Linked DNA regions of Oryzias latipes. The protein of the gene in region 1 binds, or shares a complex with, the protein of each later gene. Links are inferred from orthologs where the notes say so. Each region holds a gene or a part of one and is shown in the gene's direction. Other genes may lie near its edges.

Region 1 (3,500 bases):
TAACCGATTTCAAGCGATAAAGAAAGAAAAAGGGGGGAAAAAGGACAATACAAAAAACCGATGTCAATATAAACCAATTTAAGATATCAATTCATAAGTTGATTAAAAAATAAAAGACAAATCATGCCGTTTTAAATATGGATTATAATCATCAGTAGACCTATTTACACACGATACATTGAATCTATTGAATCCAAAGACTGATTGATTGGGTAAAAGTAAGTGAGAAAAAGCTAATTCAAAGTATGCCGCCTCACAATGTTTTATAAAACATTTTTTTGTTCTTAACATCTGTTTAAAGTTCTTAAAGTCGGTCTGTGATCATATTTTGATGTATTTTCAAAGCATTCACAATTCACAACAATTTGAATAAAGAAATAGTCAAAAACAGAATTTTATACTTTATACTTCTTAACATCTATTATGGTAAAAATGTCCCCAGAGGATTTTAAAAATGAGATTTTCATTGAAGCGGGTCTTTAAAACGTTTTCAGTCCAAGTCCGAAATTCTTATTATCTTCAGAATTTCTTTTACCAAATTCCCGAAATCAATATTAATCTATTAAACCTAATAAAACAAAAATAAATTGCTTATTGATCAGAAAGTGTTGGATGTTATTAAGTTCCCTCAACCCCATATTGTGAAAAAATCGTTCCTATTTCTGAATTTTTCTGAATTTTTCTTAGATTTAAACTTGTTCCAGAGTTTAGTGCCGTACATAATAACTAGAAGACAAAGGACGTGTTTCTTTCTTTTCGTTTTTTTTGTTTAAAGCCATTTGCTACATTCAAACCCAGATGTAAAGGTCAATCCAGGGATATCTGGTCTAAAGCCTCAAAGACCTCAATGATCTGCAGAGTTTGAATCTGAAGAGACTTTCTTTAAACCTTCATGTTGGTTTCAATTGTTTCTATGGGATCTGTGACCATTTAATGTATTTTACTCATAGGTTTAGTGTTGGTCATTGAATTAAAATGGATCAATTCTGTACAAATATTACCTTTTATTTTCCTTCAATGAGTGTTTGAGTTTTTAATCTGACACCTTCAACAAGGAAGTTGGAGGATAAATATTTTATTTGTTCTCAGTAGACCTTTATTTTTGTTTTTCTCTGTGTTTCCTGCAGGTCTTGCAGTACAGCTCCAGTGTGTTCTGGCCTGCAGGCTCAGATTTTATCTTGTTACAGAGACAACAGAGACCAGACCCTAAAGTGCTCAGACCTGGCCAAGGAATACCTGCAATGTATAAACGCTGCAAGAAAGGTGAGAGGTTTCTCCGTCTGTGTTTCTTTTTTTATAAAATAAAAAAACAAAAAATAGAGTATCAATCATGGTTCCACTATTGGTTAAAATTAGTGTCATTTTCTTTGTAAGAAAAAAGACAAAAGATTAGAATAATAAGGAAAAGTGTTTTCATTTCCACAATTCCTTTCAAAAAGTTAAAGTTTGTATTTTATTTATTTTTTTACGTAAATTTGGGTTCCAGCTCATGAAACTGAAGATATCAGCATTTATGCATAAAAGCAAAGACAGAGGTTTGATCTATTGATCTATTTTCAATAAAAGAATATTTTTTTGAATGGAATTATGGAAATAACACGTTTCCCAGTTATTCTAGTTTTTTGGAATTGATTTCCTTCATGCAGCCAGATGCTCACCAAACCTACATCTCTGTTTGTTTAATTCTGAAGCTTTAGGAGAAAGACACAAAGGTGGCAAAGCCTCTTCAAAGTTCATCAGTATTGCCAGCTGTAGGAATTGAGGAGAAGGTAGCAAAAGAAGATGTGGCGTAGATGCAGGAAAAAACACAAAGAGCATCGACATAAAAAAAAAGAATTCACTTTTTAGTACTTTCAGTGGCGGTTGGTGGAAAAAGCAAAGGTCGTGTTTTGCATAAATGTGTGGAAAAGTTTCTTGGTATTTCCTAAAGTTCTTGTGTGAGTTGCAGAGCTTCTCCTGAACTTAAAAAAGATTTCAATCCAAAACAAGTCTCTAAGCGGGAGAAAACCGTTTGTTCTAGTCCGCTGGTCCGGATCGAGTCCTGAACCTTAAGGCATTTGGACTGTAGTCAGACTGCTGTCAGGCTTGTCAGCCTACAAAACTACAGCAATAAAATCTCTTCACTCATTGGTCAGGGATTATGAGGCAAAGCAACTAGAGAAAGAAATTCTGGAAGTCCTGCACTTTGTTAGTTTGTTGGTTCATTCAAACTTTACGTTTTGCTGATCAGTTTTAAACATCAGGCTCAACAGTTTAACTGCTGCGTTGGTCTCTACCTTTTATGACATGGATTGTGGGGAAAAGAGGAGGAAGCAACGTGCATCACGTTATATCTTTTTAATTGCATTTTTTAACTGCATTCATCTGACCGCATTGGAATGAGCTGCTGTGTCTCATCGTCGTGGTGAGGATTGAGAATTCTGTCAAGGAACTACAAGGTATCACTTAGGATGACGTCACAGCAGCTTCCTGATTGGCTGTGGATCTTGTCAATCACTCTTGTGTTCAGTTTGTAAAAATCTTTGTTTGCGATCAGATATTTGTTTTCAAAAGTAACCCGAGATGAGCAAAATCGGCAAAAAAGTCATCTTTATTTTCTTTACAATTATTTTAGATATTTAAGGCAGTAAAACTAGACACTTTATACATTTTTCTCGGACAGACAAACATTTTTACACTTTTTTCTCTCTTGATTAAACTCTCAAAGTTCAAACCCTCATAGAAAAATCAGTCCAGTGTTGGAGAATGAAAACATCAAAGCGATCAGACTGAACAAAACTTTTATCAATCAGCATGAACTTAAATCTAATGGCACATAACCAGTATTAAAACATAACAGAATTCAATACTGTCAACTAATCCTAAATTGTTGAAACATAATTAAAAATAAATCTGAAGCCTTAGAACTTTGGTTTGATTTCTAAATATTTGATCAACTAAAATACTTTTTTTGGATACTGGATAGAGCACCAAAATGCTCTATTTTTTCATTATATGTGATTTATATCCTCAATAGTCAAAAGAAGAAAGATTTTTGGTTCAAGCAGTCAGCTTGAGGTTAAAAAAACACAACCTTAAAGTTTTTTACAGAGGAACAACTGAGGATTCAGGAGTTATGCATGCACTCTGTAAAAAGCAGCCTTTCCCTCCCAGTATCCCAGAACTCTCAGTGTGCCTCACTGTTGTATTATTCAACCAAAAAAGCCGGTTTCTCCACTTTGTTCATCACTGCGCTGGTTACAAATTCACAGAAAGTTAGAGAGAAAAGTGCAGCAGGAGGAGGAAGGCGAGCCGGAGGACAGAATGCTGGGAGCCCGTGGCTCCACAGCTCGGGCTGGGAAGGCGTTTGAAGGTACAGTTGCTGATCAGGCAGCCAAACAACGCATCGCTGCGCCTCACCCGGGTCTCAGCTCACATCTTTGCGTTGCTGAGGGGCACTGAGGCTTATCCTTGGAGTACAACAATACAGAGTGCGATAATCAGCTTGCTGAACAAGGATT
Region 2 (4,091 bases), on another chromosome or scaffold:
AACAAATGATGATGATGATCTAAAAAAACATTTATGTTACCCTGAACTGACTGATAACAACTGGTCCTTATATGTGTGATAACACAGAAGTGTACAAAGATCCAACCGCAGTCATGCGGCGTTTATAATTGCCCCATGAAGAGATAGCGGCTCACAGAACCTCCTATAGTATCAGAACACGTTTCAACCTGTGACCCTGAGCTCTGATTGAGCGCTGCTGGAGTTTGTTACAGTTGTTAAGGATGGTGATATTACCAGAGGATAGCATGAAAACTGACTGATCAGCTTTTCTGCATGAAAGCTGCGCTCGCTGAGGTCAGGCCTCTCAGCCACTGAAGCAGATTCTAACCGTTTACCTGGTTTCCACTCCCACTTTTCCCAGAGGGAATAGTAAACCCTCAGCAACATTATTGTGCATAGGTAAATTAATTCAGTGCAGAAATGTTCACAATTTCATCCTATTTATATATGTTTGAGCTGACTATTTAGAGCAAAGGGGAAAAAACCGGAATAGTCAGCTCAATATGCAAGTAAAGACATGAACCTGTGGCCCCATTCGCCAATAAGCAAAGGTAATGTTATCTTTATGATCCTCGTTATGTTGCCATGGCACACAAATCTGTGAATGGTAGATAACTCCAAATTAATGATAGCAACAGGAAACATTCAATGAGTATTAAAAATTAATTAAAATAAGCATACAAAGAAACCCAACTGCGAAAAATGACTGATCATTTCTGCAAAATGCGGTTTTAGGAACACATGCACGCCCCAGAAGGTCCACTAACATCCACCCTGAGCCTCAAACCCTTAAATAATAAGACTGACTAAAAAATGAAACAGATTTCTGCTCACCTGGATCAAAAGTGGGTGAAGTCCACTTGACAGCTAAAAAAACTACACATAAACTGACTATCAAGACTTTAGTAAAAGCCATTTTGGAAAAAGCAGCAACTGGTCTGACTGCTGGGTTTTGTGGAATTGTGCTGATCTGTGGTTATACAACGGCTGCATTTGGCAACACTGCTCTCAGACAAGTTCAGGGAGGTCCCATGGAAAAAAGTACATCTGTTAAACGCCCCATTTCACTGTTTTTCTTGCGATTTGGGCGTGAACTTCACATTAGACACACCCCTTTGAAAAATCATTTTTCATTTTTAGATATAATTTTTAAACATTTTTATTTAAAAAGTATTTACCTGTGATTTAAAAAGTTAAATAAAATAAAGCATTAGAAAGTGAGGCAGAACGAATGTGTTGCTCTGCAGCGGAACTAAGTTTCCAAGATCCAACTTTATTAACACAGCTGTGGTTGACAGGACAAGAATCCGGCTTGTCCTTCAGTGCAGCTGCTAGGTTTGACTTCTTTCAGGTCACAGTCGTGGCTTCGGGATAGTTCGGTTACCCGTGGATCATGGCGACAAAGCTTTTGCCTGTAGTGAAGTTAGTTCATTTTTACTTTACAAATGTTCGGAGAAGTGATGCTAAATGCGGGATTAGCCGACTAGCTAGCTAATCAAACTAGCTAGCAAAGCTAACAAATGTTCTTTGCCTGTTTAGCTAACTCTAATATAAACTATGTGTTCTGTATCTGTATCCACAAAACTGAATGTTAATTTACTCATTTATAATTTACTCATTTGTACTCAGCGCGTCTTGAGAAGTTTCTAAAGTCCTTTAGTTTCTCTGTCAAACCAACGTTTTAAAATGTTTACTTGTGTTATCATCTCTGTCTCAACGATCTTTGATGACCTGCGTTTCATGATGGACTCTGATTACCTGCAGACTCGCGACCAAGGTGGGCATAGCGGGAGGGGCTGTGTATGTGGCCTATGACTCCGGGCTGCTGGGGGGCAGCGAACAAGGTTCTGAGGCCCTACAGAAGGCCAGAGCCGCTGTCCCCCCCGCCATTGAGGAGTGGATGAAGTACTTCGGTCTTCAGGTACAAACAAACTAGGTTTGAGTGAGAGGTCTTTGGGTTTGTTTGGTCTTTGGTGACTTCTCCTGGGGTTAAAGAGGACCGTTATAGATCTGCACATTAATGCATCCCTTAAGTTTCACTGGTCCCATTAACTAATACACAACCTCCTCTTTTTATTTCTCTGTCAGCAGACTCAGCTTCCAACCATCCCTAACGTTGAATTTTCTCCGGTCCAGGCGTGGAACTCTGGTAAGAGCTGACGGACATTTTTGGGTTTTCCTCTATAAGAGAAACAGTTTGTCATTTCACTGCTGAGTTTGTGCCTCTGTGTTTGCAGGGGGTCTACAGATTTGCTCAAGTGAAATTTAAGGATTTTAAAATTTAAGACCCTATATGCACAAAAATAGAAACAGAGAGTTGGGAGTCTGTGGTTTCTTGCTCTACACGTGATTCCATTGCTATGATCCTTGCTATGTAAAGTTTAAATGTCTTTCAGCAAACCGCAGAGTTTGCTTCATAAAGATTTCCACTTATAAGTTTAACCACTACGACTAATCCCTATTTCCAAGACACACACTGCTGAGCACGAGCTAATAAGCTAGCAGAGGTGAAACGATTTACCACCAGTTAATAACCTTATGACACAGCGCATCCCAGAAATGTTCTTTTTTTTTTGGGTGACAGGTCACATCAGTCGATGAGAAATTTAAAACCTGTTCGTAAGAATTTAGCTGAAGAGACTGATGATGGGAAGTGGGGGAAGGCTTACCAAAAGTCCCGCCCACAACTCAAAGGGGAATTTCAAATGAGCTCCTGCAGAAACTGTCCTGGAAAATGACAGGTTTTTAGACTAAAAATGGCAATAAGAACACTGGGAACGCTTTGAAAAGAGATCAACAGATGATCCGAGTGGGACCTTAAGACAATTTAATGCTTTACAAGACTTTATTGTAGTTCAACAAAACATGAGACTTTTTAAGGATCTGCAGCCACCTGGGTTTGTGTGCACGTCTTCAATCAGCTTTCGCCTTCAGTTTTCCTTAAATTTGTCTTGTGAGACCTGAAAACCGTTTCTTTTTAATTGCAGGAGTGCGGTGGACGATTTCCAGACTTTCTGAAGCTCCAACAAAAGCGAGTGAAATGACGACTCAGGGGTTTCAGTTTGTGAAAGACCTCCTCAAGTGAACCCCCCCGGTATCAGTTTTACTTTTGCACTCAACAGCTCACTTTGGAGAGGTTCAGCCTCGTTCCTCCCCAAGTGGAAGGTTATGGTAACACATTACTACTCCTAAATCAGCCCTAGAAAAGCAGTTGTTTATGAAGAGGCATGTAATGAAGACTGAGCTTATTGTAAGGAAATGAAGTATTTAAAGAACCTCTTCTTTGCTGTAAACCAACTCATTTTACCCACCAAGCAAGGTTTTTTCTCAGTCTAAATGTCCAAAAGTTGTAAATATTCTAGTTGACCTTTTCATGCCTTCTTTAGTGTCTCATGTTCAAGTTCTGGTCATGACAATGTCTATAAAAAAAACACCAATCATATGCACAAAAACTTTATTTGTTCCATAACATTGACACGAAACACAGGAAACCAAAGCGTCAGTTGAGCATCCGAACCTCCAGGGCTCCCCAGCTCTGATGTTTAGTGTCTGTTTTAAATCTCGTTATTTCCACATGTAGAAATAAAGTTTCCTAACTTCAGGCACGGTTTCACTGTTTCATGCAACTTTAACGGAGAAATCCAGAACCGAAGAGCTAAAGAACTGCGGTTTCATCACATTAAGTTTGATGAAATCACTTCTGCAAGCAAATATAAGAGTACAAGACGAGAATTCCTGTGGCGGTTACAATAGTCTGTTAGCTGGAAGTCCACATGTTTACTACAGATGTTGTTATGATCATACAGAGAATGTACACACCAGCAGAACTATCTCCTCTTCATTTAAAGCATTTTGCAGTTTTTTAAAACAAAAAAAGTATATTCTAGGAAACGAGTTCCTCCTTTACTTGAATCTGAATATGTAAACGTTACACAATAAAGTGCTCCTCACAACACAACAGTGAGAGAATACAATGGATAAGGATGCATTTCCCATCAAACCAACGGCTGCACAGCTTTCCTGACGGGGTCAGTGTCGCTGTTGAGGGAGGGGGACTAAAGAGCGGCTGT

The links.
Region 2: MICOS complex subunit mic25a-like (region 1) and c4h19orf70 share a complex: the UniProt entries of both Homo sapiens proteins name them as parts of the mitochondrial contact site and cristae organizing system (MICOS) complex. The link is inferred for Oryzias latipes from reciprocal best matches to the Homo sapiens genes CHCHD6 and MICOS13.

The regions. Positions count from the first base shown.
Region 1 is NC_019865.2:2,332,133-2,335,632, forward strand, and holds part of MICOS complex subunit mic25a-like, read left to right. Parts: intron 1-1,127; coding exon 1,128-1,263; intron 1,264-1,691; coding exon of another isoform or gene 1,692-1,697; exon of another isoform or gene 1,698-1,912; intron 1,913-3,500. UniProt on the Homo sapiens protein: Component of the MICOS complex, a large protein complex of the mitochondrial inner membrane that plays crucial roles in the maintenance of crista junctions, inner membrane architecture, and formation of contact sites to the outer membrane.
Region 2 is NC_019862.2:7,384,538-7,388,628, reverse strand, and holds c4h19orf70 (MICOS complex subunit MIC13), read left to right. Parts: upstream 1-1,291; 5' UTR 1,292-1,414; coding exon 1,415-1,443; intron 1,444-1,785; coding exon 1,786-1,942; intron 1,943-2,109; coding exon 2,110-2,170; intron 2,171-3,008; coding exon 3,009-3,106; 3' UTR 3,107-3,622; downstream 3,623-4,091. UniProt on the Homo sapiens protein: Component of the MICOS complex, a large protein complex of the mitochondrial inner membrane that plays crucial roles in the maintenance of crista junctions, inner membrane architecture, and formation of contact sites to the outer membrane.